Ovis aries: one gene and its partners. The protein of the gene in region 1 purifies or fractionates together with the protein of each later gene. This does not show direct contact. Links are inferred from orthologs where the notes say so. Each region holds a gene or a part of one and is shown on either strand. Other genes may lie near its edges.

Region 1 (4,134 bases):
ATATTAGCAGGGCTTCTTGGGTGGCTCAGTAGTAAAGAATCCATCTGCCAATGTAGGAGACATAGGTTCAAGCCGTGGACTGTAGCCAGCCAGGCTCCTCTGTCCATAGGACTTTCCAGGCAAAAACACTGAAGTGGGTTGCCATGTCCTCCTCCAGGGGATCTTCCCAACCCAGGGACCGAACCCACATCCCTGGTGTCTCCTGCATTAGCAGGCTGCCTTTACAGCTGAGCCCATACGCCACAACTACTGAGCCTGCGCTCTGGAGCCTGGGAACCACAGCTACGGAAGCCTGAGCATGCTAGAGCCGGCGCTCTGCAAGAAGAGAGCCACGGCAATGAGAAGCCCGAGTCCCCCAACCTGAGAGTATCCCCCACTCGCTGCAACTAGAGAGAAGCCCACGCACCAACAAAGACCCAGCTCAGCCAAAAACAAATTAATAAATAACATTTTTTTAAAAAGTTCTCAAGCAAATTCTAGCTCCCAATGATTCTTTGTCCATAACACAATCAACAAAATTGGCAGAGACCTGAAAAGATAACAACTTTCTCATGAACTGACTGTACAGTCCAGGGGTCCCTAAAAATCTCAACCCCCTTCTTCCATCCCCAGCCCACTCTTGAGGAAACATACTCAAGTCCTGCTTAGGTTGCTGACTGCCTCCCAGAACAAGGTGGCCCGAGAGAGAAGGAAGCAGCAAGGGCAGCCTTTGGACTGAACAGGCCCAGGAGGGCACTAATCTCGCTGGCAGCAAAACCAAGGTGCACATGGCACTCACCTGGGTGCCAGTCCCAGTCGATTAGTTGTGGCTGACTCGGGCGTCCAGGATCGGTAGGGGTGTCTGGACTGATTAACAAGGTCAGCTGCGCAGAATGCAAAAGCAGTGCCCGAAGTGCCTTGCATTTGTGATTTCTTCTCCAAGTACCCAACTGAAGGGACATGAGGTTTGCTCCGGGCCCAGGTGACCACCTTAAACTTATTGCTGGCTCTGCCAAGCCACAGCTAACTGCTATTAAGAGTCTGAATGGATCACCTAATTTCCTCTATAAGCCAACATAGCAGCTAACAACTTGTGAAGACGTCTTAGGTGCTAAGCGCTGTACAAGGATCAGCCCATTTTACAGATGAGGAAACTGTGACCCAGCAGGCTAGGTGGCTTGTCTAAGACCAGGAAGACTCAGCCAAAGCCGATCAGGAAGAACATCGGAGACAGAAGAGGATGACTTCAAATAACCAACTGCTCCATCAGGTCTGGAACGTCAGCCTCCAGGGAATCCCACACCAGTGGGGACTTTCCTGTCCTTGGTCCTGTGCCAGGGACCAAGAAGGCATGGAGACCTCCCATGCCTATCAGGGAACAGGGCTCTCTGGCCTAGCTCTGACTGACCCCAACTGTGCTAGTCCCCACCCTGTTTATTTCTGGTGGTCCCAGACACTTGCCTTCTTTCCCCTTCCACAATGAAAGCAGAGCAGTTCTCCAATTTGAGTGGACAGTCAACTCACTCTGGGAACGGGTTTTAGATGCAGGTTCCTAGGCCCCCAGCAGACCCAGGAAATCTGAGGCAGGGCCTAGGGAACGCACCTTAAACAAGCTTCCCCATGGTCCTGGACATACTCAGGGGAAACCTGGCCTGGGGGATGCCCGCAGGCCAACTAAGAGGCCAAGAAACCACCAACGGGATGCAATGCTGCAGAAGCCTGAATCAAAGGCCCCAGTCTGAAAGTGCCCACAAGGCCCAAATGCCCTGTCCTCCTCCCGGGCAAACGACCAGATGAGGAGATGGAGTGTGAGGAACCCGAGCTAAACCTGCAGGTCAGGCCACTCTCACCATCAGAGGCAAGAGAACAGTGTGTTGGGGGGTGGGGGGCAGTGGGAGGGGGACAGCTGGCCTAGGAGTCGAACTCTTGGTCCAGCTCTGAGACCCTGGTAAAGTCACTTCCTCCCTGGTGGCCCACATCTCTCAGACACAAAAACGGGAAGCTGGAGAACCTGGGAGGTCCTCTCCAACTATCCCTTGGTTCTCCAGCAGGGACTCCCAGCTCCTCTCCCAAGGACAGTAATGCCTCCTTGGGCCCAGGCCCACTCCCCAGCGCCTTCCCACCCACCCACTAAACACACGCGCCAAGCCACAGCAGAGCTAAGCCTCTGTCCAGACGGGACAGAGGGGGTACCGTACAGAACCCTGGCCGGGTCTCCCACCGAGCCACCGAAGAAGGCGAAAACTGGCGATGGAGCGATGTTGAGCCCTGTGACAATGACCACTTTGTATATGCAAGCAAAGCGCCGGGCACGGGGTTAAGTCCTTGCCAGCTGCGCGCCCCCAAATCTCACCCCGGTCCTTGGGGAGGTTTCCTATCGAGTGTTTCCCGGGTGTGCAGCCGTGGGAGAGTGCAGCGCGCAGGGGCGAAATGACTGACCCAAGGTCACCCGGCCGGGCCGCGGCAGTCAGCGCCGGACCGACCCTCGCCCCAGGGTCCCGGTGGAGGGCGCGTGGAGCCCCAGACAGGGAAGCTGCAGGGAAGGCCGCGGAGCCGAGCAGAGCCCCCAGCCCACCCTCCGCCGCGGGGCCCGCGCCGAGGCCCCGCCGCCCGCTGCCCGCCCCGCGCGCTCCAGCCCGCGCGCCTCGCCATCCGCGCCCGGGGCAGGGGCCCGGGGCGGGGCCGAGGCGGCAGTCGGGGCGGCCACTCACCGGACTTTGGGGGGTAGCGATAGGCCGAGTTCGCTTGGATGTCGATGTCCTCCACGCCCGCGATGCGGCGGCTCAGGATGGAGCCCATGGTGGGCGGCGGACCGGGCCGAGGCTGGGGCGGCGGCGGCGGCGGCGGCGTCCTCACGCGGACATGGCCCGGACCAGGCCGCACGGACGCTCGCCCACGGCCGCGGGCGCACGGCCTCCCCGAGCCCCCACCCCCGGCTCGGCCCGGGGCCCGACGCCACGGCAGCCCTTCGCCCCCCCGGGGCGCGAAGCACCTCGGGAAATGGAGTCCCCTCGTAGCAGTGGGGGCCGAGCGGCGGCGTGGAAAGCCCGACTGGGAACTACACTTCCCAGGAAGCTCCGCGCCCGGGCTCTCCGAAGTTGTTGACAAATCCTCCAGGACAAACCAAATGGACCTGAGTCCAGAGGGGAGAGACCATCAACCACCCTGCAAACTATCCAGCCCTTTGCATTCCAAAGCACGAGACTAACATCATAAGTCTTTAGCTTTTTAACAGTTTGTTCGTACGTACACCTTTCGAGGAACCAACGCCTTCCATTCACTCCCTCTTTGAAATACCTCCCTGAGCTACCACGGTTCTCCCCACTTCCCAGGGTTTGATCTCCTGGCCCGGCCAGCAGAGGGCAGACCCTCACCTGCCACCCGGCAAAGAAGAGCTGGGGGTGGAACCCAAGATTGCTTGGAGGAGTGCCCACTTGGGAAGCGAAGCACCTTTTCCAGAACTCAAGGCATCTCTCCGTCTCCATGTCCAGGACAGTTATTTTGAAGACATCAAGTCCCTCGCAGAGGCAGTAAACCTCTCCCCATTTTAGAGACAGGGAAACTGAAGCACAAAGAAGAGAGTGCTTAAGGGTGCTTAAGCCAAGTTCAAAGAATCCAGGTTAGACCCTAACTGAACGGCCAGGGAATTCCCCAACTTTCCATTTGAATAAATATTTATAAATATAAAGAACCAGGGTTAGAGTTAAAGCCTCCTCACAGGTTGTAAGGTACTTTCCAGGCTTTTGATTTGTGCAAAACTCTGTAAGCAGGCAAGTGAGGATTTGTTGTTTTCACCAACTTTTCAGTTGAGAAACGGCTCTTCTGAGAAGAAAGTGGCTTCCCAAGACAAGCCTGTTCTACCAAGAAAGAAGCTGGGGGACTTTTCTGGTAGTCTGGTGCCTAAGACGCGGTGGTCTCAATGCAGGGGGCCCGGGTTCCATCCCTGGTCAGGAAACTGGATCCCACATAGTGCAACCAAGAGTATGCATGCCTCAACTAAAACACTACACGTGCCTCAGGGTAGACTGAAAGATCCTGTGTGCCACAACCAAGACCCTGCGCAGCCAAACAAATAAATTATATGTATATGTATAAAGGAGCTAGGGAGGACAGAGGCTGGCTAGGATTCTTAGATGGTAAATTCACCACTGTCCA
Region 2 (2,729 bases), on another chromosome or scaffold:
CCTCTTCACCACACCCCTACTCCTCCACCCCAAGCTTCAGGCAATTTCCGGAAAGAGGCAAGAAAGATGGGAAGGAGGTTGCACCAAGCATCACATTTATTAATACCGCTGCACTGCTTCCTGGCCCTGGAGCCTGCATACTGGCTGCTGGGTCCCCAGAGCAGGCCTGGCTGGGGTGTCTGCCGAATGCATGTGCTGCTCGCAGACGGGCTGAGCCCGACTCCCAGTCACCACAGAGCGTTTGAAGAGAGAAGCCCCCACCTCCTCCTGTGCTGGTCATGAAGTCCTTGGAGCAGGACTTCCCACAGCTTTGGGCGGGGTGGGGTGTGGGCACTGGCCCCGGAGTGGGTCTCTGGATGGAGGGGTGGGGACCCTCCTTTCTAGGTGTGGGAGGCCATGCCCCACCATCTCCCCAGCCTCCTCATTCTGCACAGCCTCCTGGAGAGTCCTGTGATTCCCCTCTCAGGCCCCCGAAGGCCTGTGCACCCTCACCTTCAGAGATGGTCTAGCGATCCTCTTTGTCAAGGGACTGCCCCAGACTTCCAGGCCTGGGCACACGATGGCACTGCCACCCTCACCAGGAGCACTGCAGCACCTCTTGGAGTGTCTTCCGGAGCTCCTGGCTGCGGAAGGCATAAATGAGGGGGTCCACAATGGCGTTGCAAATGATGAGGGCCAGGAAGAGGTTGAAGTTCTTGAAGATGCAGCCACAGGTGGGGTGCTGGGGGCAGAGGACGATGAGCGAGAGGTGCAGGAAGAAGGGGCCCCAGCAGAGGAAGAAGACGCCCAGCAGGATGGTGAGGGTGGCAGCGCCCTTGAGGCCAAAGCCCTGATGAATGGGGCGCTGCCTCTTCTGGAGCCGGGCGATGCCCCGGGCATGCTGGCAGGCCCGGGCCAGCATGTGGACATAGAGGACGGCCATCAGGGCAAGCATGGCTATGAAGAAGCCAACCAGGCACAGCAGGACGACCGTGTGGTTGTAGTAGGTGATGGAGAGCACGCTGGTGAGGATGCTGGCCACCCAGATGGCTGCAATGATCCTCCACGCCCGGGGCAGTGTCACGACACTGTGGTACCGCAGGGCGTAGAAGATGGAGATGTAGCGGTCCACAGCGATGGCACCCAGGAAGCAGAGGCTGGACACCATGGAGCTGCAGATGAGCACGTCAATGACATTGTCCAGCTGCTGTACCACGGCCGCCCGGGTGGCCAGGACACCAGCCTCCAGCAGCAGCATGACTGCCGTCTCCAGCACGTTGCTGACGCTCACCAGCAGGTCGGACATGGCCAGGCAGCAGATGAAGTAGTACATGGGGGAGTGCAGGTTGCGGTTCTTGGCGATGGCGGCCACCACCAGCACGTTCTCCACAAGACTCACCAGCCCCAGGCTGAGAAAGAGCCCATCGGGGATGGACACCTCCAGGCACTGGGGCCCTGTCCGATTGGGGGCCAGTGTGAGGGGGAGGGTGGCTGGGGGTGTGCAGTTAAGGGAACCCAGCAGCCGCCTCTGGGAGCCGAGCACAGGCATCGTCCCGCAGGGAGCAGGAAAGGGTGCTTGCTCTCAGGGTCCTGCTCAACTCATGGCTCCCCTGGGAGGAGCCTCACACCGCCCCCTCCCTGGCTGGACAAATGTCGGCCCAGGCATGGCCCCAAGCTCGTGGGGCCAGCCCTCTGGGTGCAGTGTCGCTCTTCCGCCCTCAGTCCGCCTCCCTGCCTCTTCTCTGGATGTGCAGTTGCCCACAGGCAGACATTTCTGGGCCGCTTGCTTCCTCCTGTCCTGTGGGGACCTCCTGCCTTACCCGGCCGTGGTGGGCTGAGGTCCAGGGAGAACAGAGCCTTCCTTGGCATCTTTAAAGTCGTCACGGAGTCCCTCCTCCTGAAGGTGGCCACATGATGGGCGTGTGCCGGGCTGCAGCGAGGTCCGCCACCTGGTGGCGCAGGCGGAACCCGGGCCTGTCAGACCAAGGCAGTCCGGCCTGTGCAGTAGTTGGTGCTCGGCCAACGGGTGCTCCCGGCGATGCAGGTGGTGGGTGGGGGCCCTGCAGACCTGCCTGAGACCTCCAACCCTCTTCCAAGCCCAACATAAAACCATTACCTCCTCCCTGAAGCCGTCCAATCTTGCCTCAGGAACCCACAGCCTGGCCCTAGCCACCCTCCCCCCAACTCATGTTAAAGGCTGGCTGAGGGCAACCCCGCCCAAGGACTCCCAGCCCCTTCACTGCACTGTGGCTTCTCCCTGGGGTGCGGGGGCTGGGGGTGGGGCACTGCCAGTCCTTCCCTGACAGCCCCCATTTCCTCTGTGAAAGGTCACCACAGCCGGCCCAAAGCCAGCAACCACTTCAAGGACAAACCTTTATCTGCAGCCGCTTGCCAGCCCCCCAGCACTTTCTCACTGAGGAGTGCGTGGTGCTGACGACAAACCCTCCTAGGAGGAGGGTGGGGTGTACAGGCCGTCCCACCAGGGGGTGGCGGGGAGTCAGAGGTGGGCTGATGGGGCTGGCATGCTACGGGCGCTGGTCCGTCAGGGTCTCTCCTCCTCCTGCCAGACGGGCAAGGCCCACACCTGCACCGTGCACCTCCCTTCCCTGTCTAGGACTCACATGGCCCTCTCCTTTGTGGCTCTGTTGATGCTGTTTATTGAAGCACATGGCAGGTGAGAGACAGTACACAAGTTATAAACACGCAGGTTGGTGCATGCCGCATCCAGCACCCTTGGGACTGCAGCACTC
Region 3 (3,648 bases), on another chromosome or scaffold:
CCAAAAGTAGAATGTTCCTAGGAAACTTTTCCTTAAGTTGAGATGGCATAAAGTGAAGAACCTTAGGACTCATCTTACTAACAGATGCACAAAACAAACTGAGATAAAACACAGGTGCTCAAACACCGTGCAGGCTGGGGTGGCTGGACACTGAGATGCTGTGAGGTTCCTGAGCTTGGTGGTGCCAGTCTTGCTGCAAGACAAACGCTGAACACTGTTTTGCTTTATGCCTTTCTTCCTATAAAAGCAAAAATCCTCTTGGGATTTCTTTTAATTAGCAAATAGTGGTGGTATAGTGGATGTTTCTTAAAAGTGAGGTGGCATAAAGTGAACTTTCAAAAAATGGGGGATACCTGTATATCTAACACCTTTAAGTATGAGAGCATTTTGAATCAGATGTAGTCAATGAATTTCATGTAAGTCAAAATGAAGACATTATTCGAGCAGGAAGTACAACCATTTAAAAATATGTTGTTCAGGGTCTCTGTGTATCAAGCTAACTCAGATGTTTTAAAAGCCTTTTTTTTAAACAGAGTAAGTGAAATATCTGTGGCTAAGGAGTTTGGGATTTGTGATAACTTTGTAGTCATATAAAACTTAAGTGCTTTATGCCCCTCCACATGTGGTTATTCTAATAAATAGAGAAGTGAGCCCCCCCCCCCAAAAAAAATTAACCTCTACTGAACTTCACAGAGTTCTAATCTTATCTTTGAACTTGCTAGAGTTTTCTTTAAATTTTTGTATTGTTATAAATTCCCATTAAAAATGTCTTCTCCTATTCAGAAGATAAACATTTTTTTAACATATAAAAAAAAGTTTGGCTGGCAAACAGACTGGTCCTTTACAAAGTCATTTTCCTAGGATTGTAAAAGACACTAATGCCAGGAAAGGCTGAGAGGTCTGTGGTTAAGAGTGTCGGTGAATAAAGTAAAATTGTAACTTACCAAAAAAACCTGTCAACTATGCATGGTGACCCAGGCTCTAAGACCTTGTTTTGTGCTGTCTCCATTGTTCTGTCCCAAGATGGTCAGAAGAATGTGAAAAGGAGTTTAGGAAGAAGAACAGCAGCAATCACTAGTCGATACCTATGATCACGGTCATTGCGGCTTTATCTAAATGACTCCCTGCTACTGGTCCTGCATGCTGTGACATAGTTGTGGGCTAGTCTCCTGGAGCTTCGAGCTCATCACCGAGCAGTGTGCCAGTGTCGAGAGAGTGCCAGTGTCAGGCGGGCTCCATTTGGGGCAGCCGTGTCCTCGCTTAGGTAGTTTTTATGGCACTTGCACTGTTATTTTCAGCTAGACTCAGCCTTTATACAGAGGAGAAGTAAACTGACCTTGTGTTATTGTACAAGATAGCGCTAAAACCAGTGGGAGGAAGCTATTACGAGGAATCACTAATGGCTAGCCCTGTCCAAGTGTACCACATAGTAAGCATCCATTATTAGAGTATTTCAGTTTAAAGAAGGAATTCCTTCATTGGTCAGATTATTGAACTAAATTGATAAAAATCTGCCTTTAAGATTCACACACTGCTCAAGACTTCTTCCCTGGTGGCTCAGAGGTTAAAGCGTCTGCCTGCAATGCAGGAGACCCGGGTTTGATCCCTGGGTTGGGAAGATCCCCTGGAGAAGGAAATGGCAACCCACTCCAGTATTCTTGCCTTGAGAATCCCATGGAGGGACGAGCCTGGCAGGCTACAGTCCACGGGGTCGCGAAGAGTTGGACACGACTGAGCGACTTCACTTTTACTTTCAAGACTTCTGCTTCACAGTTGGAATGTTTTTGTTGTTGTTCAGTTGTGCCCAACTCTTTGCAACCCCATGGACTGTAGCATGCCAGCTTCCCTGTTCTTCACCATTTCCTCGAGTGTGCTCAGACTCATGTCCATTGAGTTGATGATGCCATCTAACCATCTCATCCTCTGTTGCCCCCTTTTCCTCCTGCCCTCAATCTTACTAGCATAAAGGTCTTTCCCAATGAATCGGCTTGTATCAGATAGCCTAACTATTGGAGCTTCTAACTTTGACTCTTCTAGAAACTTAACCAAGGAACATAATCATTATTGTTTAGCAATTTATGGTTCAAGGTAAATTGTCCAAATACTTGCAGATATTTAAATCGGTACATAAATGGGTATTTAAGTCAGTACATAAATGGGTTAGAATATATATGTCAGTTTTCTTCTCGTCAATGTATATTTTCAGGTTTGTCTTCTTAAACAGTGCAGTTTCTCTGGTTTTTTGTTTTTGAAATGGGCGACGTGTTGTTTCATGCCCTTTCTTTCCTTTGCTTCTCTCACAGCGCCATGGAAAGCCATTCGCTCCTCAATCCCAACCTGCAGCAGGGTGAGGGGGTCCTGTCCAGCTTCCGTACCACGTGGCAGGAGTTTGTAGAGGATCTGGGCTTCTGGAGGGTGCTGCTCTTGATCTTTGTCATTGCTCTGCTGTCTCTTGGCATCGCCTACTATGTGAGTGGGGTGCTGCCTTTCGTGGAAAACCAGCCTGAACTGGTGCATTAAAGAAGCTCACGGGAGAGGAGACGGATGCCAGTGTCCTGGCTTCCAGTGTTTGTTCTGGTTCTCAAAATCTCTTAGTGCAAAGCAGCGAGGGCTGTACTTTTGTTTCTTTTTGCATTTTTACACATTGTAATCCTTTTAGAAGAATAACCTGTCTGTTTGAACTAACTACATACTGTAGTCAAGGATGCTGTCCTAAAGCTACCTCCAGCTCAGCCTGACTTCTTAGGAAAGGCTCTGCATAGCCTTATTTGATAAAAATGTGGCATTGACTAACAAATGAGAGAGAGAGGATGAGACTAGGAAATCCTTGCTACAGAAACCTTACCCTAACATAAGACCAACTAGAGTGAAATGTTTAAAGGTTGTCTTATATGATCAGTTGTGGTTGGTAGTTTTGTTTTGTTTTTGTTTATTTTTGCAAGAGCTGCTTTTCGCTATTTACTTTCTCTGGGGAATAGTAGGGTAGGGGGGAAATGAAACCTTCAGCTTAAAACTTGAAGTGCTTTTTTCAGATCTTGTAGCACAAATCAGTATTGTTGGGATCTGTTTGGTTTATTTTAATATTTTCAAGTCTAGTCACAAACCAAACAGAACTTTTGAAAAGGAGTTATATTTTCCTCAAAAATGATTGATTTGATCTTATACTTATTTGTTTTTAAGATGTTTGATTTTTTTTGTGTGAGCTGCTTTGCTTGTTGTTAGTATCTGTGAAAAATGAACTTGAGAATTTTCAATCGAGAAACTTTTAATTTCCCCCTAGTGTTTATTTCAGAGATATCCTATTCATCAAAAATACAGTTGGAAGACTTTGTCTACTCAGTAGTTAGCAGGAATAAATATTGCTGATGTTTAATGTCACTGATTATGGTGAAAAATTCAGTTCTATAAGCTAGCCATGTTGTCATGATTATGTCATAGTTCATAATTTTTTCATTTCATGTGCAATCCTCTTTAGAGGCCCTGTTAGAACTGTCAAAACAATCCCATCCATGTCAGTTGTTCTCTGATGGAAAGAATGGATGGAGCATTCCCGAGTTAGCAGTGCTGAACAGTATTGTACCAGGTGTCTTTATGAATGGTAATACTATGTAAATTGAAATCTGGCCCCCAAACGATATTGCAGCTTTC

What was found.
Region 2: the proteins of MGRN1 (region 1) and MC1R purify together in Homo sapiens (affinity purification with western blotting; 3 studies listed by BioGRID). This does not show direct contact. The link is inferred for Ovis aries from reciprocal best matches to the Homo sapiens genes MGRN1 and MC1R.
Region 3: the proteins of MGRN1 (region 1) and ANKRD46 purify together in Homo sapiens (co-immunoprecipitation; 3 studies listed by BioGRID and IntAct, counting the BioPlex papers as one, with this or other methods). This does not show direct contact. The link is inferred for Ovis aries from reciprocal best matches to the Homo sapiens genes MGRN1 and ANKRD46.

The regions. Positions count from the first base shown.
Region 1 is NC_056077.1:4,321,309-4,325,442, reverse strand, and holds the start of MGRN1 (E3 ubiquitin-protein ligase MGRN1), read right to left. Parts: upstream 2,900-4,134; 5' UTR 2,779-2,899; coding exon 2,691-2,778; intron 1-2,690. UniProt on the Homo sapiens protein: E3 ubiquitin-protein ligase. Mediates monoubiquitination at multiple sites of TSG101 in the presence of UBE2D1, but not of UBE2G1, nor UBE2H. Plays a role in the regulation of endosome-to-lysosome trafficking.
Region 2 is NC_056067.1:14,250,529-14,253,257, reverse strand, and holds MC1R (melanocyte-stimulating hormone receptor), read right to left. Parts: upstream 1,529-2,729; coding exon 575-1,528; downstream 1-574. UniProt on the Homo sapiens protein: Receptor for MSH (alpha, beta and gamma) and ACTH. The activity of this receptor is mediated by G proteins which activate adenylate cyclase.
Region 3 is NC_056062.1:76,769,034-76,772,681, forward strand, and holds part of ANKRD46 (ankyrin repeat domain-containing protein 46), read left to right. Parts: intron 1-2,303; coding exon 2,304-2,520; 3' UTR 2,521-3,648.